Ovis aries: one gene and its partners. The protein of the gene in region 1 interacts with the protein of each later gene in a biochemical or structural test. Links are inferred from orthologs where the notes say so. Each region holds a gene or a part of one and is shown in the gene's direction. Other genes may lie near its edges.

What was found. The genes of interacting proteins can lie anywhere in the genome.
Region 2: of the proteins of LRRK2 (region 1) and MAP2K6, one has a biochemical effect on the other in vitro, tested with the Homo sapiens proteins (2 studies listed by BioGRID). The link is inferred for Ovis aries from reciprocal best matches to the Homo sapiens genes LRRK2 and MAP2K6.
Region 3: of the proteins of LRRK2 (region 1) and RAB5B, one has a biochemical effect on the other in vitro, tested with the Homo sapiens proteins (2 studies listed by IntAct). The link is inferred for Ovis aries from reciprocal best matches to the Homo sapiens genes LRRK2 and RAB5B.

The regions. Positions count from the first base shown.
Region 1 is NC_056056.1:146,909,166-146,917,439, reverse strand, and holds part of LRRK2 (leucine-rich repeat serine/threonine-protein kinase 2), read left to right. Parts: intron 1-2,279; coding exon 2,280-2,509; intron 2,510-2,919; coding exon 2,920-3,047; intron 3,048-4,637; coding exon 4,638-4,856; intron 4,857-8,158; coding exon 8,159-8,274. UniProt on the Homo sapiens protein: Serine/threonine-protein kinase which phosphorylates a broad range of proteins involved in multiple processes such as neuronal plasticity, innate immunity, autophagy, and vesicle trafficking.
Region 2 is NC_056064.1:60,332,091-60,339,564, reverse strand, and holds part of MAP2K6 (dual specificity mitogen-activated protein kinase kinase 6), read left to right. Parts: intron 1-2,636; coding exon 2,637-2,685; intron 2,686-3,678; coding exon 3,679-3,792; intron 3,793-5,377; coding exon 5,378-5,497; intron 5,498-6,726; coding exon 6,727-6,843; intron 6,844-7,474. UniProt on the Homo sapiens protein: Dual specificity protein kinase which acts as an essential component of the MAP kinase signal transduction pathway.
Region 3 is NC_056056.1:163,537,916-163,545,389, reverse strand, and holds part of RAB5B (ras-related protein Rab-5B), read left to right. Parts: intron 1-1,878; exon of another isoform or gene 1,879-1,990; intron 1,991-2,802; 5' UTR 2,803-2,901; coding exon 2,902-3,064; exon of another isoform or gene 3,065-4,156; coding exon 4,157-4,308; exon of another isoform or gene 4,309-4,578; coding exon 4,579-4,701; exon of another isoform or gene 4,702-5,252; coding exon 5,253-5,346; exon of another isoform or gene 5,347-5,664; coding exon 5,665-5,780; 3' UTR 5,781-7,474. UniProt on the Homo sapiens protein: The small GTPases Rab are key regulators of intracellular membrane trafficking, from the formation of transport vesicles to their fusion with membranes.

The DNA.
Region 1 (8,274 bases):
AAACTAAAGAATAAAAATCATATGATCATCTCAATAGATGCAGAAAAATCTTTTGACAAATTTCAGCACCTGTTTATGATCAAAACTCTCCAGAAATGATCGTGCTGCTGCTGCTGCTTCTAAGTCACTTCAGTTGCATCTGACTCTGTGCGACCCCATAGACGGCAGCCCACCAGGCTCCTCTGTCCCTGGGATTCTCTAGGCAAGAATACTGGAGTAGGTTGCCATTTTCTTCTCCAGAAAATGGGCATAGAGGGAACTTACTCAACATAATAAAGGCTGTGTATAACAGACTCACAGCAAGCATCATTCTCAGTGATGAAAAATTGAAAGCATTTCCCCTAACATCAGGAACAAGACAAGGATGTCCAGTCTCACCACTTATTCAACATAGTTTGGTAAGCCCTCACCATGGCAATTAGAGAAGAAAAAAAATAAAAGGAATATAAATTGAAAAGGAAGAACTAAAACTGTTTGCAGATGACATGTTACTATATACAGAGAATCCAAAAGATTCTACCAGAAAACTGCTGGGACGTTATCAATGAACTTGGTAAAGTTTCAGGATACAAAATTAATGCACAGAAATCTCTTGCATTCCTATACACTAGCAACAAAAGAGTAAAAAGAGAAATTTAGAAAGTAATCACATTTACCATCACAAGAAAAGAATTACCTAGGAATAAATCTACCTAAGGAAGCAAAAGAACTATACTCAGAAAACTGAAAAGACACTGATGAAAGAAATCAAAGAGGATGCAAACTGATGGAAAAATATACCATGTTCTTCTATTGGAAGAATTGATAGAGAAAGGATTGATAGAATTGATAGAAAATTAATGTACTACACAAAGCAATCTACAGATTCAGTGCAATCCCTATCAAATGGCCACCAATGGCATTCCTCACAGAATTAGAACAAAAATTTTATAGTTTGTATGGAAACACAAAAGACCTTGAAAAGCTAAAGTCATCTTGTAAAAGATAAATGGGGCAGCAGGAATCAGGTTCCCTGTCTTCAAACTATACTACAAAGCTATATTAATCAAAACACTGTAGTATAGTACTGGCACAAAAAATAGAAATATAGACCAGCAGTACAGGATGGAAAGCCCTGAGATAAACCCACATATTTATGGTCACCTAATCTATAACAAAGGAGGCAAGAGAAAAGACAGCCTCTTCAGTAAGTGGTGCTGGGGAATCTGGACAGTTACATGTAAAAGAATGAAATTAGAATTCTACCTCATATCATATAAAAAAAAAACTCAAAATGGATTAAAGACTGGAAACTGTAAAACGCTTAGAGGAAAACAGGAAAAATACTCTTTGACATAAATCACAGCAAGATCTTTTTTTGACTTATCCCGTAAAATAATGACAATAAAAACAAATAATTGGCACCTAATTAAGCATAAAAACTTTTGCACAGCAAAGGAAACCATAAACAAGATGAGAAGACAACTCTCAGGATGGGAGAAAATATTTGCAAATGAAGCAACAGACAAAGGATTAACCTTTAAAATATACAAACAGCCTATGGAGCTCAATATCAAAAAAATCAAACAATCCAATAAAAAACAGGTGAAAGACCTAAATAGACATCTCTACAAAGAAGACATACAGATGGCCATAAGGCATATGAAAAGATGGTCAGTATCACTAATTCTTAGAGAATGCAAATCAAAACTACAATGAGGTATCACCTCGCATCAGCCAGAATGGCCATCATCAAAAAATCTATAAGCAATAAATGCTGGAGAGGGTGTGGATAAAAGGAAACCCTCTTACACTGTTAGTGGGAATGCAAATTGGTATAATCACTGTGGAGAACATTATGGAGGTTCTTTAAAAAACTAAACATAGATCTACCTTGATTCTTTATCCTATGGGCTTTGTAAAATTTTAGGCTTTATAATTTTTAGAGTTTTATTTGTGATATTTAAAGAAATTTTGTATGTGTTTTATATAAAATTTTAATGAGTATTACAAATATTTTGATACTTTGATTCTTTCTCGTGTCATTATATTTGATGAGGCTTCCGATAGGCTTCCGATCATTATCAGCTAGACCAACCAACATCACTAGCAAAGTAGATATATTAACAATGCATTGAAAGACACATGCATTATTAAGTTAGTATGAGTTATGTGCTCTTTTGCATACTGTACATTATGACATTTTGATATTTAAAATAATTCAGTGCATAAGAATTCACCTATAGCCTAAGTACACTGTTAAGCAGTTTATTATTTTATTTTTGTTTTTCAAATACCAGGTTTCTTCAGCAGCGGTTGAAAAAGGCTGTGCCCTATAACCGAATGAAACTTATGATTGTGGGAAATACTGGGAGTGGCAAGACCACCTTATTGCAGCAATTAATGAAAATCAAGAAATCAGATCTTGGGATGCAAGGTGCCACAGTTGGCATTGATGTGAAAGACTGGCCCATCCAAATAAGAGGCAAAGGGAAGAAAGACCTCATTCTGAATGTATGGGATTTTGCAGGTATTTATTTTGCTAAAATTTTTTATTCAGATATCTTTTTAAAAACGGATTTAAAAACTGGATTTTCTGTTCCAATACTACAGAGACCTGATGGATCATATGGAATTATTCCAAAGTCATTTATTTCTCCTAATTCTTCCCTTGCCCCCAGAATGAAGAAGCAATGGAAGGAAATGTTAGGAACCAGCACGTGTCAGCTGAAGCTACATAGCTGACACATTAGCAAGAAGTTGTCAATCCCTAGTAAAAACCCAGTGTAATCTTGTAGCTATTATCTTTTGATTGTTTCTCTCTCTCTCTTTTTTTTTTTGTATGGTATATAGTGGGTAGTGCCACCTAACTTTATTTTTGAAGAAGAGAATTCTTGTCTATTCTCTGGAAGACTGAAAAGTTCTCCAATCTTTATTTAGGTCGTGAGGAATTCTACAGCACTCATCCCCACTTTATGACCCAACGAGCCTTGTATCTTGCGGTCTATGACCTCAGCAAAGGACAAGCAGAAGTTGATGCCATGAAGCCTTGGCTTTTCAATATAAAGGTGATATGATCTAATAATTTGAGAATAGAAAATATTTCATGAGTTTTCTTATTCTATATAAGGTGATTTATTTGGGGCAAATAGTACCATCAAGCAGACTTTTCAAATACTTTTTTGCAAGAAAGTTAGAAGCACTTAAACTTTGAGTTAGGAAATTTTTAGGAGTAATTAAGTTGTGACATGAAAATAGTATGTTCTATGTTAATGAAAGGTATAGAAACTTGAAGCTTTTTTAATCTATTAAAAATGAGAATATATGTTAGGCTATTTTTATATTCTTTTTTATTTTATTTTATTTATTTATTGGCTGCACTGTGTGGCTTGCAAGATCTAAGTTCTCTGACCAGGGATTGTACTTGGACCATGGCAGTGAAAGCCCCAAAATCCTAACCACGAGGGTATCAGGGAGCTCCCTGGTATTATTACTTATGTATAATATGAATTTCCTTAATTTAAAATAAACTGTAGTAAGAAAAAGAAGCAATCTATGCATTACCAACTGTGTCCTCAGAGGCAATTTAGTATAAAGCCCTGTGGGACTTACAGTTTTAAATGGTCCCAGATGAATATTATATATTTGAAATTTTGCAACTTTTCCATTTTGTCTCTTGCTGTTAGATATTCCTTCATGTATATATGGTTTTAAAAATCTGTGCCTTTTTATAATTGATACTAAAGTAAAAATGAATGGTCATTGAATAATGCTCTAGTAGGCTCTTCTGTGAGGCAAATCTGAGCCACCAGGGAAGCCTACTATTAAGAGACATTTCTAAGTATAAAGACAGGCCAACTTAAAAAGTATCAGTGGATACACGCTTGACTTTATCTTATAATCTATAGACAATACATTAGAATATGTAATGAATCCATACACCTTTTCCAAAGGAATACCTAAGACAGAAGTAGCAATAAAGTTATAAATGACAGTCATCAATCAGATGAAATAATTTAGATGAAGTTTTTCTCTCTCAAAGAGATGGGGACTGGGCAAGTGGTCAGGATGGAAATACAATGTGCTTTTAACTTTGCATGAAAGATAATGTTCAGTTCCACTCGCTGAACATAGTTCTGTTTTTGCCAAATAAATCCTCTACTTCAAATTACTGTCCAAATGCTTTATTACTTTAGTGACTTGTTTTTTCTTTGTAGAAGCCACACTGAATTACTATAATATGAATTAATGAGCTTTAATTCACAGATAAGGAAGAGAAAATATAAAACAAATTGTATTACTCTGATATTATTTGGGTGTTATTAAATATTATTTTATCTAGAAGCCCAAAGCACACTTAAAGAATAACCCATTTTAGGCAGAGAGGAAAGAAATGTGTTATTACTGTCACATGGACCACCTGAAAAGTGACAATAACTAGATTAAGAAGGAGCATAAAAATGACTTTTAAAAATTTCTTAAGTTTAATTTGTTCCCTTAGGTTTAAGGAAGGGAAGACAGTTGTCATTTTCTTCTTGAAGTCTTTTGAATTCTCATTTCGATTCTAGTGAATTTCATAGAAAGTGAATATCAGTGGAAATATAAGCAGTCTTGATTTTTAAAACAAACACAAGAGTGTTTTGTGTCTTCCCCCATAGGCCCGTGCTTCTTCTTCTCCTGTGATTCTTGTTGGTACACATTTAGATGTTACTGATGAGAAGCAGCGCAAAGCCTGTATCAGTAAAATTACCAAGGAACTCTTGAACAAACGAGGATTTCCTGCAATACGAGATTACCACTTTGTGAATGCCACTGAGGAATCTGATGCTTTGGCAAAACTTCGGAAAACCATCATCAATGAGAGCCTTAATTTCAAGGTAACATGGTTCATTGCCTACCCTAGGTGGTAGATAAATATAATTTATTAACTGTTACATTCTGCAACTGCTAAGAAATGTCAGCAGTCTTGAGAAAAGAATAACTATCTTAAAAGTATGGGGTTTTCTTAGCTGTTAGCATTATTCAAGTACTTTTAATTTTAAAATTATTTATGTTAGACTTAATTTTGAACTCACAGAATTGGGAATTAGAAATAATTGAGGATCCTGAGAGAAACTAAAAGGATATCTGAGAGGCTGAGAGAATGTTCCTGAGAGAATCTGGGGACATGTTTTTGATGCCCTTTCTCTCCCAACATCCTATAGTAGTGATTCAGTCAAAAGGATAACGATGGATGTTGGGGTCTTGGAGTGATCTTTCTTGTATTTTTCTTTGACTGTTTTTTCTCCATCTGCTCCTTTTGGAGTTTCTGTTTTATGCTCGTCTTGGTCTTTGTTGTTCCTTCATGTCTTTGTCACTGTGATTCCCCCTTTCAAATATTTTTTTTCCTTCAATATTGAGAGAAGGCTCTTCCATCTGGTCACCACGGTCACTAATTTGGTTTTCAACAATGTGTAAGCAATATTCTAGTTCATACAAACTTTATGTCAAGAGTTATGTTTTTGATTTACAAAGTTTTTCTTTCTGGTAAGACAAATAGAGTTCATAGAGTTCATAAAACACAAATAAATTGGTTAACAAATGCTTGTTTTTAATACAAAAGAGAAAGAAATTTTACCTGGGCTCTACAGATAGCAAGGGGTAAACTGTACTGAAAAACACTTTGAATAGTTCCATATGACAAACACAATAGTGGATTTCACCGTTAGTCTCTATTGGTTTAGCTCATTAGTACTAACGATCAAAGCTGTGGCTTCTAACAAGGGTCTTGTTTTGCCTGGACAGTCCCAGTGTAATTATTAATTGTGTCTCACTACATTCTCAGAAGCATTCCAGTTTGGATGATAAATTACACGGTCACCTTGGTTATAACACATTATCCAGTTAGCTTAGTTCTGTTCCATTTCCACAGATTATGCTCTGTCTAAAACTTAATGAGCCATTTATAAGTGTGCCAGTCTTTGTGGTGCTCAGAGAGAGAATTTGCACATTTATATCTTTCCACACATTTATCACAATCAATAAAAGCTTTTACAAATGTGGGTCAATGGAAATTTTATGTTAGAAGAATAAAGTATCATTTATCTCTAGTTTTTGCTACTCTTTTGTGAGACATATGATTAAAGAGTGATATGACTTTTAAGAAACAAATGCACCAAATTAATATATTCAATTAAATATCCTCTTTACCCAGGGAATTTCCTTTTGAGACTATATCTATACTTACAGAACTTTGCTGTTACTTATAATATTTTAATAGCTTCTCTCTTATCATTGATATCAGACCATTTATCATATTTTAAAAAAGAATTCTTAAAGTATGAGTTTGTTTTGAGAAAATCTGGATTTAGTTGAGGAAGTCTATGAAAAGAGTAGTTGATTCATCAAGCTGGACTGGTACTACTTTAGGCTAACAGCAAGTTAGACCAGTTTACTGGTGATAAGACCAGTCTGTTTTCTGCGCTTGTACGTGAACTCTGAAGGCAATACCGGATGAGGAGGTTAAAAACAAATGCTTTGAGAAATGGCATTATTATTTGAAGGAAGGTATATATTGCAAATGCATGCATCATTCTGTTATATTGGTTTGAAAATTCAATTGGCTGCTTTGCAGAATAGTGATTCAGATGACCCCAGAACAATAAGCCTGCCAGAACTTGAATATTCTTTCCTTCCTGAGGTGCCTCAACCTGTATTCAGTCAGCAGCTTTTAAGCTGTTAGAAATCTTTTTTGTTTGGTCTTTCATTTGTTTTTCATCTTTTCCTTTTATCTTGATCTTTTCTAATCTTTGTGTGTCTCACTCTTATTAACATGTGTCCATGCAGAGTTTAGAATAAAAGCTTTCTGTTTTTGACTGTCGGTGACCCGATGATAAAGGTTAAAGGAAGTAGGACAAAATAGAAATCAGTGCCAACAATGTCCCTCTCAGGCTTGTCCAGCCCCTTAGCAGAGTGGGATCCTTTGCTCACCCTGTAATCTAGCTCTGTAAAGTCCATCCCTTTGTTTCTTGACTACTGTGTGAACTTGTTTACTTTTATATGTAGGTTTCCCTTCTTGGGTTAAACGCAGACTTCAATCTGAAGTTCTGTTTTATCTTAATTTATAAATGATGAAGAGAGGGAATATGAAAAGTGGAGGTTAGTGAAATTATATTTAATTTTCTGGTTCAAGGGGTACCTCAAAACAATCCTGATTGTTTGGAAGTAAATATGTAAGTAATGGTTACGGCTGCTATAAATTAGGCTCCTGAAGGATCAAGTTAAGAGTAGAAAAAGAACAAGTATAAAGTTTGTGTGTGTGTGTGTGCAGGTATAATAAACCCAATTTCTATTTGTAATAAGTTGAAGAGTTCAAGTAGAAATTTTATTCTTTATTGTCAAGAATATATTCATGGGTTGAGAAATGAGGAGAGTTTGCCACCTGGTGGTTTGCAAAGGCATTTACTATTATTAAAGTTGTATTTCTATTTAAAATTAGATTTTTAAGAAGAAAAAATGTTTGGAAATATTTTTATTACAGAAACTTTCATATAAGATCATACTATTAAAATTTTGATTTTAATTAGATTCTAAGTGTAAGAGACCCCAAATCATCCTCTCGTATAGAATCATTGGGTTTAGATGATTTTTTATTTTTCCAAGTTCAAGTCTCCATGAAAAAGCATAGCTTAATGAGGAAATTTCATGTCTGTCTCCAGACTTCACTGTTGAAATGTACATCCCACTAATATTACATTTTGCAAATAGCAAGAAGAAAATGTAGTTTTACTTTGGGATGTGGATAGTTTCATCTAAAAAATAAAGTCCAAAAGCTCTTACAATCCTGACTTTTATGTTAGCATATCTGTTACCTGTAGATTTAATGTCTTAGAAAATAGTAGGTCCTTTATTTAAGGTTAATGATTTGTCCTGGATTTCGCCATGGATTTTCTGAATACCTTGATAATTATTTCCATACAATGTTATTTGATAGTTCTTTCCAAATTGGCTTCTGTGTTCACTTTTTTTTTCTTATTTTAAGGTAATCTTATTTATTTCTCATGATTTAATTAGTTTTACATTGCATCTTGATTTTATTAAAAATAATCATTTTCTGAATGATTAGCGCAGAATTTACCAACCACCTGACACACAGATGCATAAAATGGATTTTTACAGCTTGTCATCTGTAATTTCATAGATCCGAGATCAGCCTGTTGTTGGGCAGCTGATTCCAGACTGCTATGTAGAACTTGAGAAAATCATTTTATCAGAGCGTAAAAATGTGCCAATTGAATTTCCTGTAATTGACCGGAA
Region 2 (7,474 bases), on another chromosome or scaffold:
CTCTGGCCCAATTAGGAGCTTTATATTATCATTAGATTATAAGTAAATATTGTTATTTATAGGCAAATAATGCATGCATGCTCAGTCGCTTGAGTCGTTTCCGACTCTTTGTGACGCCATGAACTGTAGCCCGCCAGGCTCCTCTATTCATGGAATTCTCCAGGCAAGAATCCTGGGGTGGGTTGGGGATCTTCCCAACACAGGAATCCAACCCAAGTCTCCTGCATTGCAGGAGGATTCTGTACTGCTGAGCCACAGGGGAAGCCCAGGCAAATAATAATTGTAATAGTAATCAGCACACTCGTTGCTCATGTAGAAGTATAAATGAACAGTTACTTTCATAAATCGAAGCTGGCTGTTTATAGAAAACAATCATAGCAGGTGGCCTCTGGAGTACCTTTGGCCTTACAGAGTTAGGAGTTTTGTAATGAGTTTGCTTCTCGTCCCGGAGGACTGAAATATTGAAAAAGCAACACAGAATGTCCTCCCACGGTTTAAACCTCAGTGCCCCAGACAGACGAGTGTGCCCTGGACCAGTTACAGTGTCAACTAACCCAAGACAAGCTGTCCACCTCAGGCCTTCATCTGATGCTTCTGGCCGCCTTGCTGAGCCCAAAGCCCTCGTGGTGGGGGTTGGTGATCAATTACACTAGAAGGGGTCTGGATGGGGCAGGTTCCTTGGATTCAGTCGGATGTGGATTGAATCAGAGCTTCACCACTCGGGAGCAAGATAGCTTAAGTCTCAGTCAAACAGGTTTTCATCTGGAATGTGGGAATAATGACTCTTCTGGGTGTGTGTGTGTCTGTGTGTGTGTGTGGACGATAGGAAGTGCAAGGAAAGCACTTAACCCAGTTTTCAGTGTCTATACCCCCTTCTCCTTAGGTCAAGGCTGAGACTCGGATGACATGAGTTTTATTTTCAGCCCTGGTGAGGACTGTGTGTTCAGCATATCGCTGAGTTTTTCTGGGTTTCATTTTTCTCATTCTGGAAAATGGCACGAAACCCTCCTATTAGTAGAGTTATAATGCAAGGTTAGAATAAAACTGGAATCAGCCAACTTTTTGTGCCAAAGACCAGATAGTAAATATTTGGGGCTACCGGGCCACAATGGCCTTGCTGAAGACCGTTTCTTGTTTGTTTTTTACAGCCCTTTAAACGTGTAAAATCCACCCATTGCTGGGTCACAGACTAATTTATGGGCCTCCCTGGTGGCTCAGCGATAAGGAATCCTCCTGCAATGCAGGAGCCGCAGGAGGCCTGGGTTTGATCTCTGGTTTGGAAAGATCCCCTGGAGGAGGAAATGGCAACCCGCTCCAGCATTCTTGCCTGGAGAATCCCATGGACAGAGGAGTCTGGCGGGCTACAGTCCGCGGGATCTCGAAGAGTCAGACCCGACTGAAGCGACTCAGCACGCACTGACTGTGATATGCAGAGCCCTTGTATGAATACTAGGATATTAGATCTGGAAGAGGTCTTACCCAGCAGCCTCGCTGGATGGCGTGCCCTTGGAGGTGGCCCTGAATAATTAACTAGTGACCTTTTCTGTTGCTTCATTCTTTGCAAAAGGAAGGGTCTGAACAATTGCAAAGGGTTTTTCACTGTTTATATTAGTCACATGTTTCAAATAATATTTGCCTTTATTTCAAATTTCTGTTGCAATTAGTACAAGCAGATCGTGACAACTAAAGAAAAGAGCTTCAGAGGTTTTAAGAGTGAGAAATCAGATTTTTCAGAAAATTTAATTCCTCTGGAAGGCGTTTCTGAAGAAAAATTCCCTGCTTAGAAACACGGGATTTATAAAAGCATCACCTGTGTGTGTGTGTTCATCTTTATCCCTGCCTCTCAGTCTGGGTTTTAAATTAATTTAGAAAAACCTTAGTTTGTATTTTCTATTCATTTCAGAAGGATTCCCATTAAAGCCTTAGATTGATGTGTTATCTGTGTTTATGTTCATACATTTTCATTATTGTTTTATTTAGTTAGTTTCAGTAGGAAAGGTAGAATTATACACAGTAACCCACGAGGCTCCTCTGTCCCGGGGATTCTCCAGGCAAGAACACTGGAGTGGGTTGCCACGCCTTCCTCCAGGGGATCTTCCTGACCCAGGGATGGAACCCAGGTCTCCGAATTGCAGGTGGATTCTTTACCACTAGTGCCAGCTGGGAAGCCTATAGACGTGTGTGTGTGTGCGTGTGTGTGTGTGTTGTTATGTGAATAATTAGGCTATTCCAATAAGCCCCTGTGTAAGTAATTACAGTATATATAATTATTTTATAAAACATATATTATGTATGTTATTACATATATAGTTTATATATATGCATATTTATATTTTGAATGTATGCCAGTCATTCTGCTAATAAGCATTTTGCTTAGGACATCTCCTTTAGCAGCCACTCTTGTTCTGTGAGGAAGTGTACGAATATCTTCGTAATAGAGAAGAAATTGAGGTTCAGAGACTGGTTTCTAAGAGCATCTGTTTTTCTCCAATTCCCACACTATTAACCTCTTGATGCTGCTTTATTTTACTCACGAGCTCTCACCTTATTTTTAGGGAGAACTCTCTCCAGTCTCGTAGGCTTTGGGAAGATCGCATTCGATTAAATATCTCATGTTTTTCCTTTCTCTGTTGCAGGCCACCTCGGGATTTAGACTCCAAAGCTTGCATTTCTATTGGAAATCAGGTGAGAAAAGTCGTGTCTTCCAGTTAATGTCTTGACCCTTTTATATGTATACTTTGTGACTGGCCAGTGGGAAAAAATGAATTTTCCATAACATGCTGTCAGGGGTTGGGTCAATAACGTTTGAATGTAAACAGAAGTGGCCTGTGGAGCAGTTGCTGTTTTAAATGTCAAATCGGGATCGGGCTGTTGTGGTTCTGATGGAAGGTCTCTGAGGCAAAGAGATGGTTTGTTTTGGGCTGCGCTTTGCAAAGTCCAGGCCTAGAGCTAGTCGCCAGGAGTCAGCAAGGGACCTGAGGGGCCATCGAGGGCCGGAGCTGAAGACCCGCTGTGCGGGGTCAGCGCTCCCTGTGCCGTTCAGCGCCTGAGCTGGAACTGGACCTCTGTATTGCCCAGGATAAAGGGGGGCCCACAGCGGGCATCTGCACATCTCCCAGGCACTTCTTGCTTTCAGTGGCTGCTTGGCAAAGCTTCTAGACCAGAAGGTTCTCGACCAGAAAGGACCCTTGGACTGCTCAGAGGAACCAGAGGGAGGACAGGGCAGCCTGTGTCTGGTTTCTTTCCTTTTTTCCTATTGCTGAGCACCAAAGAATGGATGCTTTTGAACTGTGGTGTTGGAGAAGACTCTTGAGAGTCCCTTGGACTGCAGGGAGATCCAACCAGTCCATCCTAAAGGCGATCAGTCCTGAGTGTTCATTGGCAGGACTGATGTTGAAGCTGAAACTCCAATAGTTTGGCCACCTGATGCGAAGAACTGACTTGGAAAAGACCCTAATGCTGGGAAAGATTGAAGGCGGGAGGAGAAGGGGGTGACAGAGGATGAGATGGTTGGATGGCATCACCAACTTGATGGATGTGAGTTTGAGTATCCAGGAGTTGGTGATGGACAGGGAGGCCTGGCGTGCTGCAGTCCGTGGGGTCGCCAAGAGTCGGACACGACTGAGTGACTGAGCTGAGCTGAACTTCCTGTTGTACCCTTGCTTCTCTCTCCCGCAGAACTTCGAGGTGAAGGCGGATGACCTGGAGCCCATCGTGGAGCTGGGCCGGGGGGCGTACGGGGTGGTGGAGAGGATGCGGCATGTGCCCAGCGGGCAGATCATGGCGGTGAAGGTAGCGTTTGCGTTCCCCAGACACTTGCCGGTCCTGGTCGGGATGTTTGGCCCTCTCAGCTGCACACGGGCTTCTTTCACAGAAGCGGGACAGTCCTCTGTGGGGGGAGACAGAAAAGCCTATTTGTGGCGAACGATATTTCCCTCCAAATATGTCCAAGCGCCTCCTTGGAATAAACAGCAGCACCTGGCTTTTGGACTGCTGAACCCTACCCCCTGTTTTTAATTGTTTTGTGCGACGACCGCATCGCGCTTCCCTGGTGGCTTGCGCTTGCGATGCGGGACGCGTGGGTCGGGAAAATCCCCTAGAGAACGGAACGGCTACTCCCGCCAGTATTCTTGCCTGGAGAATTCCATGGACAGAGGAGCCTGGTGGGCCATACAGCCCATGGGGGTCACAAGAGTCAGACTTGACCTGGTGGCTAAACCGCCACGACCACCAGCCGCATCATCACACGTAAGAGAACCAGCAGTGCTTGCTCACTCTCATCCACCGCCAGGTCCGAACGAACGTCGCCTTGAGCGTTCCAAAGCTGTCACTGTCTTTTCTCCTGTTGGGTTTTCAAGTCGGCACCCAAATGCGAGCTTGCACGTGGCATTTGGTTTTCTGTCTTACGAGTCTCTTTTTAAGCTTTATTCTGTTGCTTTTAAAGAATCTGTCCCTGAAAATCAGGAAACCCAAACTGAGAGACAAAATTGCCTCCATTTGTGGAAACAGAGGAGGGTAAAGTCATCTTGAGCGAATTTGCATAGTTTTGGAGCTATAAAAAGAAATTTAGAATCGTCGCATATTTCTTGAGTGGATGTTGGGAGGACCTTGGAGCGGGCCCAGTGTGTTCTAGCTGGGTTGTCAGGCATGTGGATGGTCAGATGGCCTGGATTCCTTTTTTTTTTTTTTTTTTTTGGAGAATGCTGACATCTTTCCCTTACCTTGTAGATTTTTCAGTTTCATCTCCTGCAGACTCTTTGCTCCACAGGCAAAAAATGTGAAAGCCTCATGATACTATGTTGTCGTTTAATGACACAGCCGTGTTGTCTGTGGGGCTGCCCTTACTGGTGTGGTTAGTCTGTCTTCTCTTAGACATGAACTGTGTCTCCATCTCAGTTCAGCTCCTCCTTATCCCATTCCTCAGTCAACTAACTCTTCTGCAGTTTCTGTTTAGGGTCCAGATTTTTTTACCTGTTCATAAAGAGGGAATTTTGGCTTTTTTTTTTTCCTTGTATGAGCCCAAATCAGCCCCACATCAATGAATACTCTGGCCTCTTTACACTAAACCCACACGATAAGTCAGACTGTTTTGTAACTTGGGAATGTCTTCCCAAACATTTGCGCACTCTCCACCGTAGATGACCAGTTGGCTTCTCTCCTGGGGATTATTCGGTAAATGAAATGAATAGCAGTCTTCCTTACTTTTCATTTGTTACAGATAGGTAATCCTTTAGGGTAGGTATTTGAACAGTTGTTGCTAGAAGCTGTGCTGTGAATTTTCCTACTGTTCTCGGGAGGGGATCCTTTGAGGTCCCTGCCTTGTCGACAGACCCACCCTCAGGGCAGTAACCATCCATTTTCCATGCCTTCCGATCAGCGGATCCGGGCCACGGTCAACAGCCAAGAGCAGAAGCGGCTGCTGATGGATCTGGACATCTCCATGAGGACCGTGGACTGCCCCTTCACGGTCACCTTTTACGGCGCACTCTTTCGCGAGGTAGGTGGTAGTACCTTCAAAGCTGCAAGGCAAGCGGTGACTGAGAAAGACGTCCCCCCAATCTCACAAACACCAGCAGTCACAGGGCGCTTCCTTGTCCGACGTGTCTTCTGTGGAGAGTTTCATGCTCGTGAAATGTTGGTGCAAAGTTAGCTGGAAACCATGGTATTTTCCAATGTGTTTAGCCCTTTCAAAATGCTGGGGTTCCCTTTCTCCTTCCTGTTCTGGTTTGTCTCTTTCGGCAGAGCGGTCTCTATCAACCTATAGGTGTATTTATGTCAGTCCCTTGAAATCTCAAATACTCTGGTCTTTTGGCCTCTTGATAAGCTCCAGGCAGGCTTGTGCAGTGGATTGGCCTCATATCTGCTTCTTTTTTCTGATTCTCCTTCTCACTTGACGATGATATGTGTTGTTGTCCCCTCCCCTTTCTAAGCACTTTTTTATTAGGGTATACTTGATTTACAGTGCTGTTAGTTTCTGCTAACAGTGAATCAGCTCCATGTACATATATATATATATATACATATATATATATATATACTCACACTTTTTAAGATATTTCCCCATACAGCCCATTACAGAGTGTTTGAGTAGAGTTTCCTGTGCTATACATAGGTCCTTATTATTACCTGTTTTCATCTCCCTCTTATAACCAGCTTTAAATGATAAGCTGTTGCCCGTGGTCAGTGTGGGAAGTCAGGCATAGAGTTGGTATCTGGTCGTAACTCCCAGAGCAGGGGTCGCCCACCTCCAGGACTTAATGCCCGACGTTCCAAGGTGGAGCTGAGGCACCAGTAATAGAAGCAAAACGCATGATACATGTAATGCGCTTGAATCATCCTGAAACCGTGCTCCCCCACCCTGCTCTGGTCCACGGACAAATTATCTTCCACGGAACTGGTCCCTGATGCCAAAAAGCCTGGAGACTGCTGTCTTAGATAACAGTAACGGTAAAGGCTTGGGAGCCTGTTGCTTGTGGGTGTAAGCATTTAGAACCTAGTTTTCATGAAGGAGTGGGTGATCACAGGCAGATCTGTTTGGCTGTCTGCTAGCTTGCTGTTTGGAGGTAATATTGCCCATTTATAGATTTCATTGAGATCTTGAAGGACAGTGTGCATTTCCTTCAAAAGCTCACGCAGGGAGTGGCCCGTCCTCCTGACAGATGCTAACTGCTTCCTCCTCTCGCCTTTCCATCCTCACTGACTGTCTCGGAACCAACCGGCCTCCAGGGGGATGTCTGGATCTGCATGGAGCTCATGGACACGTCCCTAGATAAATTCTACAAGCAAGTGATCGATAAAGGCCAAACAATTCCAGAGGACATCTTAGGGAAAATAGCAGTTTCTGTGAGTACATCGCGAGCCCCAGCCCTGTCCAAGGAGCGCGGGGGGTCTGGGCCTCGTGTTTCGCTGTTCCCTCCGTATGGGGAAACACCACCTGGACCGGAGCGCCCATCCCATCTGTGTGTGTTGATTGCACGGGTGTGTAAGTGGATGGATCGATGGATGCTTCTCTTTCTGGGCTTGACCTACACGAAGTTCTGCTCCTGACTCGGCCTGGGAGGCTTTCAGCTGAAATGCCTCTGAGCAGCACGTTCATCGGCTAGGACCACGTTCCTGGTGTCCATGTTCTGATACTGGTTTGTCTTGATTTTCGTTTGTGGAGTTGTAAATGTTTCCTTAGGGTTAATAGGCACAGAAGGGAGCAGGCAGAAGAGGACGCTGCTCCCTTCACAGCTACCGAGGCCCAGGATAGGGGAGAGGAAGAGACGCTGGGGGTCAAGGTAGAGAATCAGAACATACCAGTGAGGCTGCCTCTCTGCGCTCTGACGTCATCTCTCTGCTGGGCAGGCTCTAATTTGTACGACTTCCAGTGTATTTTCCTGGCTAGGAACACCACTTTTGGAGAAAATACCTCCCCTTGGGACTATAAGCCAGGGATAATAAATGGGGATTTACTTAAGATGCAGTTGCTTTC
Region 3 (7,474 bases), about 17 Mb from region 1:
AAAAAAAAAAGTTTTTTTTACATCAAAATTCAGTGTCTGTACATACAACCACAAGTGAAGCATTTTCACAAAATGATTCTCGTGCTTATTATTTGCATGCCACATGGTAATTTTTTTCTTTTTTTTTTTAATATACTGATCATGATCCACGAAGCGATTTCAAGATTACTACTTGGCTTACAGCATAGAAACACTGCTCTAAAGGTTTGAGGATGAAAAGAGCTAAAGAACTGTGACTAGTAGTTAAGAAGCTAATTACTACTAATTCTTACAGTTGCAGTATGGTTCCCAGAATTTTGGATTTAACAGACAAATTAAATTTAAGGGTCTCTGTTTTTCCACATAAGTATATTTAGAAAGCTTACTACTGACTAGCAACACCATTATTTATTTCAAAAAAAAGTTATGTAGGAAACTTTAAATATATATGTGTATATTTCCTGTTAATAAAAAAAGATTTATGTAGAATAAAAATATCTTGAGTTCTTTACATACCATTTTCCTTAGTCTCATTCTCCCTAGAGGGAAGTAACCACTGTTAACAGATGAGCATGTATCTTTCCATACCATTTTATTTGTAGAATTTTGCTTTGTTTATAGAAATAGAATCAGCCAAGTGTTTTGCTTTTTTTTAAATTGAACTGTAGGTCTTAGAGGCTTATCCATGCAATAAATACATATTTTACCTTTGAGAGAAAATTGATACTAAGAAGTTAGAAATCGTGTTATAAAGGATACTCTTAAATTGAATAAATTTAGCTTTGTGAAAAACTTGCTGTATCATTTTTATTTTAATCATTTCATCATAAACCAGTGAAAAATTCATCACAAAGTGGCACATGTATATCTGAATTCTTAGGACTCATTGACCTGGGGGACTACAAAATACCCAGTAGGATCAGAGTAATTTTATACAGTCCTCTGTCTTAATCTAGTCTAGCTGAGACTTTTCTGGGCTTTCTCATTTCTATCTCATTTCCCTGTTAACTTCTTCTACTTTTTTTTTTCTTTTTTTGCTCTACCTCCTTCATATGATGGCTGCTCTTTAGGATTATATTGATAACAACTAATATTGAGATGTCCTTTAATATATTAAACTGATTATTTCTGTGAATCAGGGCCACTAAATAATACCTGTCTTACTATTTATCAGCCCTATATTAAACACATGTTTCACTTAATCCTTAGGGCTATTCTATGGGATAGGTATTTTTTCCATTTTATAAAGGTAGAAGGTAAGGCTCAGGAAGAGAAATTTTCTTGATGTCATATTAATAATGATGAGTCACTTAATATTCATGGATATAGTACCTTTTGTTAAATATTTATGTTCTTTATATGTATTATTGCATTTAGTCCTCACAACACCTTTTGAAGTAGGTGCTCATAGACTGTTATCCCATTTTATAGATGAGGAAACAAATGCACAGGTAAATTTAGTAGTTTGTCCAAAAGTTCATAGCTAGTAAGCAGAACTAAAATGAATCCAGTGAACTGGACTCCACAGCTTTTGTTCCTCTGTGCTTCTTTCTGTATGGCTTTTCTATCCTTTCCATGTTTACTAATATTGCAGATATTTTTAACCCTGATTTGATCCCAAAGTAATTATTTTTTCACTATATATGTCACAGAATATGATGTTTATAGAGTCACTAGAATCAGCCTTGGAGAAGGGAAACATCAGTTTGAACCAGCAAAGTACAATCCAAGCAGTGCTTAGTTTTGGGATGAGGTGGTTTTGCATGTTCTGATCATGCTAACGCTTCTTTGAATTTCATAGTTCTTTTCCCCTCAGAATCAGGATGATGAAATATAGTCAGGTTTGGATAATTGGACACTCAAAGTCCCAACTTCTCTCTGTCTCCTCTGCACCACCAGCTTTCCTAGCCACTTAGAAGGTAGAGAAGGTGGTTCAGTTTTATCGAGTATTTATTGCTTGAAGACTTATTCCTGTGCCATCTTCTGGAGATTTCCTGCATGTGTTTAGAAGGTACACCTTCTTTCTCTGCTTTGGAGGGCTACAGCTGTTAGGCCTTTTCAGTGTAGAGAGTAGTCTTATCCCTAGGCATCAAGAAGAGAGCTGCAAGTTGAGAGTAAATCAAGCCTACTGACTCAGACTTGATAGATTTTCAGACTCAGAGGGGTGGCAGAAGCAAAGGGAAAGAGTTAACAGTGAATGTAGTCTGTTTCTCTGTTACCTTTGAGCAAAAATGAGAAAGGATAGATTTTTCTGGTAGTTGGATCCTGGTTTGATTATCAGAAATGTCAGTTTTCGGAAGTGGTCATGTATGAACGATGTAGAACCAGAAGCTATCCCTTTGCTCTTTAGAGGGATGACTGTTACCTACACCCCTAGAGTGAATTTCTCATTTTGAAGGCTAGAAAAAAGGGGAGGGTAAAAAAGGGACAGCACCAGGACACCAAAGAGATAGTAGTGATCTGGGGTACTTTCTGGTGGACCTGGGTGTTCTTTAGGCCAACTAAATGTTGATCGATTTGCTATTCCTTGAAGATCTGGTGGGGATGAGTGGGAGATTAGAGACTACTCTCACACGGTTTTTAGTCTCTCTGTTGTTGCACACTCTACTCTAAATGCTATCTTATTTTCTTGATCCCCACTCTTAACCACGGAGTGCCAGGTGCATGGGACCCTCTCAGTGGTGTAAGCTTTTAATGGTGGATAATTATAAGACTTAAGTCCTGATTGGAGCAAAGAAATGAAGAGATTCTGTCCTTTCTTTTAAAACATGAATGCCGTTGTCATGGCCCTGTGTTTAATTTTACCCGCTTTTTTTCTTGCAGAATTGTTGAAGCCTGGACGTCCCCTCCCCTCCCCCTCCCCCCTCTGCCGCTTTGTGGCATCCCCCTCCCTCCACCCTTTCCCACTCTGATAATCTAGCCATGACTAGCAGAAGCACAGCCAGGCCCAATGGGCAGCCCCAGGCCAGCAAAATATGCCAGTTCAAACTGGTCCTGCTGGGTGAATCTGCAGTGGGGAAATCTAGCCTGGTATTACGTTTTGTCAAAGGGCAGTTCCACGAGTACCAGGAGAGCACCATTGGAGGTAAGTACTTCAGGGAGAGAAGAGATTAGTGTTTAGAAGGGCTATTGAAGGGAGATCTAGGGATCTGATTATGCCACCGGCCCTCTTAGCTCCCTGTAATGAAAATCTTTTATGAAACAAAAAAATTGCCAAAATGCCCCAAAACAGGTCTCTGTTCATCCTCTTCCTAGAAGAAAGTTAGAAAGGTTGGCCTTTGAGCACCAAAAAACCACTTTTTAAAAAAAATCTCAGACTCTTTTCCTCTTCCTGCTCTCATCTTAATGCCAGTGAAGTTCAGTTGAGGTTCATCTTGAGCAGGGGTGATTTGGGGCAGTGGCTCATAATCAGAGGTGTACATCTGAAACTCCTGGGGAGCATGCTGGGCCCTGCCTCAGACTGGCTGATTAGTTTCGGAAGGAGGGTGAGATTGGTGGCAGTATAGACGTGTGTTTGGAAAAGCTCCTTAGATCTTTGATGCACACACCTGGTAAAGCAGAGGTTAGAACTAAATACAAAAGATAAATATGCGTTTGCTACCTTGGCTACCTTCTGTCTACCACTATCCCGAAATGGGTGCTAATTCAACATGAGAACTCCCCACATTTCTCCTTCTCCACTTTTATTACTTACCTTGGAAATACATTCTTAGACCAGCAGAAGTGATATAAAAAAGTAATAGCCAGATAATATAATGGTGGGGCCTCACATCAGGCTTTAAAATCTTCGAATCAGTTCTTGATATGACTTTTATCTGAAGCTTATTGTCTCTCATTATCTCTTAATCTATTTTGGTTAGAAAAGTGTTGACTCTGGTATTAAAGCTGGTTCTTTCTAGCCCTCAGAGTTTACCATGGCGCCCCCATTCCTTAGCTGGAAAGACTTCTCGCAGGAAGGATTTAGCCAAGAGCAGGCTTAATTCTGGTGCCAGGACCCGAAGGAAAATGCTAAACCTTTCCAGGGTATAAGGAGGAGAATGCTAAACCTTTTCCTGTAGCTGAACGGCCTGGGTAGTGACTGGTCTTAGACTGACAGTGGAGATATTTTGAAGGAAGGTGGGATGTTCCAGTGCATTCTCCCACTTACACCAACTTTCCTCTGTTCTCTCATTCATAGCGGCCTTCCTTACCCAGTCTGTTTGTCTAGATGACACGACAGTCAAGTTTGAGATCTGGGACACAGCTGGGCAGGAGCGATACCATAGCTTGGCCCCCATGTACTACAGAGGTGCCCAAGCTGCCATTGTGGTTTATGACATTACTAATCAGGTAAGTGGGCTGAGAAGATTGTCCTTGCTTTTATTTATAGGAATTAAATTAGGTGGGGGAGAGAAAACCGGTTCTTGAAATAGCAAAATAAGAATACAAATTATGCTTCCAAGTGTTGAGAAGACAGAGGTAATGAATTACCAGAAACAGATGGTTTCAGTGAGTAACGGCTGCTTAGAAGAGGTGAGTTTTGAGATTGGACTTTGAAGGTGATAGCCCTAGATTGGCAGTCTTTCTAGCCTACCCATTCTCATCCTTGTGTTTTCCTAGGAAACCTTCGCCCGAGCGAAGACATGGGTAAAAGAACTACAGCGACAGGCCAGTCCTAGCATCGTTATTGCCCTGGCAGGGAACAAAGCCGACCTGGCCAACAAGCGCATGGTGGAGTATGAAGTAAGCTGGCCACCAAGTCCTTCCTGACACACTCCCTCTATGCTTGGGACCTCTTTTTTCCAAACCTGCCCTCTCTGAAAACCTCATCTGAGGACATTCATCATCTCATTCCCCAGTTCTTCACCAAGTTAAATACAGCAGCACTGTGACCCTAATGCCAGCCAGGAGATTTTAGAGGAGTCAGAAGAAAATTCCAGAGCAGAGGGGTAGGGGAGTACCAGTACCAGCTGTGGGGGTACCAGTGTGAAAAGAGGAAGGAGGGAGCAATTGAATTTGAGGTAAGGGACTCAAGTGTCAGAACCCAAAAGCCCCTAACCAACTTACCTTCTTCCCTGTAATTAAGTTTCCTGACATCTGTTTGTTGGATTAAGTGGTAGAGACCATGGGATATTCCCTGAGGGAGTCATCACCAAATTATGGGTCCAGGGGCAGCTGGCTCAGAGGGGAGGGAACCTAGGATGTTGCCTAGCTCCAGTGCTACATGGGAGTGGAAAGGCTGTACTTTGTCCCTGCCCTACAGTCTGAGTACCAGTATACCCCACCCCTTACAGGAGGCCCAGGCGTATGCAGATGACAACAGCTTATTGTTTATGGAGACTTCCGCCAAGACAGCTATGAACGTGAACGATCTCTTCCTGGCAATAGGTAAGGTCAGAGCAGCCTGAGGTCTTCCTGTTGTTTTTCCCTTGCCTCTAGGCAAGATTACTAACCCAGGTCATAAGGATAAATGGGAGTGTCTCCCTTTATGAAAACTTTAGGTGTTAATATACTGTAACTTTCCATTGTGACCTCCATCCTTTCGTTGCAGCTTGAGCCCCCTCATCTTCAATGTTGTTTGCAATGAACCCTCCCCTCTTGAGAACATTCTTTTAGTCTCTCACATTTCCCCTTTCCCCCAATAGTCTTTTTTGGGGAGATGAGTAAAATCTACCATACTTTGTTCCCTTCTGTTTTTATCTCTAGCTAAGAAGTTGCCAAAGAGTGAACCCCAGAATCTAGGGGGTGCAGCAGGCCGAAGCCGAGGTGTGGATCTTCACGAGCAGTCCCAGCAGAACAAGAGCCAGTGTTGTAGCAACTGAGGGGTTGGCTAGCAGCAAACAAGTATGGAGCTAGCACGAGAGCTAAGAAATAACCTCCATCCCCACCCCTCAGCACACAGCCCCTACGGTAACAGCACACTGAGCCCTGGCTCCCAAGGGCTGCCTCTTGACAGCTCCGTCATGGCACTTTTTAACGCTTCAGCAACAACACCAGGCAGCTGTTGCCACTGGCCTCCTACCCCTACTCTGGGGCTTGGGGGTCTGATCCCCGAGGACTTACCTTCCAAAACAAACTTTCTTCACTTTGTATTATGGGTGCAAGACAGTGACGTACTCATCTTTCCTCCTCCTCCTCCTGCCCATTTTTTCAGAAAATTTTTTTTTTGGTCTCCTGCCCCTTCCCCTTCTGCTTTTGGTCAGTTTCTGTTCTTGATCTCCTTTTCCTCCTCTCCCCAGGATGGAGAAGGTGGTGAACTCAGGAACTGAGGAAGGTTTCCAGTTCAGTCACATTAAGGGCCTTGGGGGAAAAGTAAGGCTCAGAGCAGGGGAGAGTAAGGAAACATTGCCTTTTTGGTTTTGTTTGGTTGGAGTTTCTCATATTTGAAAGCACTGCAGCGTCCATGAGTTGGCCTTGTGGAGGGTTTTTCTAGGTAGAGGTGGGAATGGGACGGCCAGCTCCCGGGCACCAGGTTGGAGTCTTGCTATTGGCTGACTGGGCAGAAGTGGAAGGGGTGGAGAGGCAGTGTCATCTGTGGCTCATAGAACTCTTCCAAGGCCTATTTCCCCCTCACCCAGCTTCTTAGTAGCTTCTCCCCCATAATGGGGGAGATTCTGGACCCCAGAGTCCTCCAAAGAATCTTCACTGGTTGCCTGCCTCTTTGGCTCTGCTGTGATCTAAATGGAGGAGGGACCAGTTTCTGATACCCATCCTCTGACTTAGGCATTTTTTTCTCTCTGGCCTTCAGATGGCCTCAGCCCCAGCCACCATATCCCCCTGCAGTTTGCACTTTAATTGATGGTAGTTCAGTTGTGATACTTGTTTAATGGGTGGTTTGGTTGATTTACTTGCCCTCTTTTTAATTAAGTGGAATCCAATGTGTATATGAGATTTGAGGAGGGGCTGCAGAGAACCATACCGGTGGCAGCTAGTCAAGCCCAGTCTCAACTGCTAGCTTCCTCTAATTCTTACTTCACCTATATTCTTGCCAACCTAACTCTTGGGTATAGGTTTACCTTTCCTGGGAAATTAACTGAGCAACTGGAGAGCAGTCTCAGGATAGCATAGGCCACTCACTGTAGGGGAGTGAAGAAGAGTCCAGCCAGAGGGAGGAGTTTTCTGTGCTTTTCCAGGGTTCCCAGTGAATTTGATCCACCCATTACCATGTCTTTTCTACTTCCCTGTAAATAGGTATGATCTTTATTCCCACTGTACAGTCTGTTCTGACCCCCTACCTCCCATCAGGCCCGATTTCTTTTCTCCTTTGTTAGTATCTTCAGTTTACCATGCTTACTGCCCCAAACTCATCCCCCATGCAGCCAGTGGTTTAATCCACATACCACTAGGGAATTGTACCACAGAGGTCTACCTGTGGCCCCTCATAACACCTGTTCCTGTGGACAGGGAATGACTGGCACTCAAGGTCCCTCACGACTGTCTCACATCAACAGAGGACATTGGTCCTTTCTAAATCTCTAGCCTCTCTCCACGTCCCTCATCAAGTATTTTAGGATGT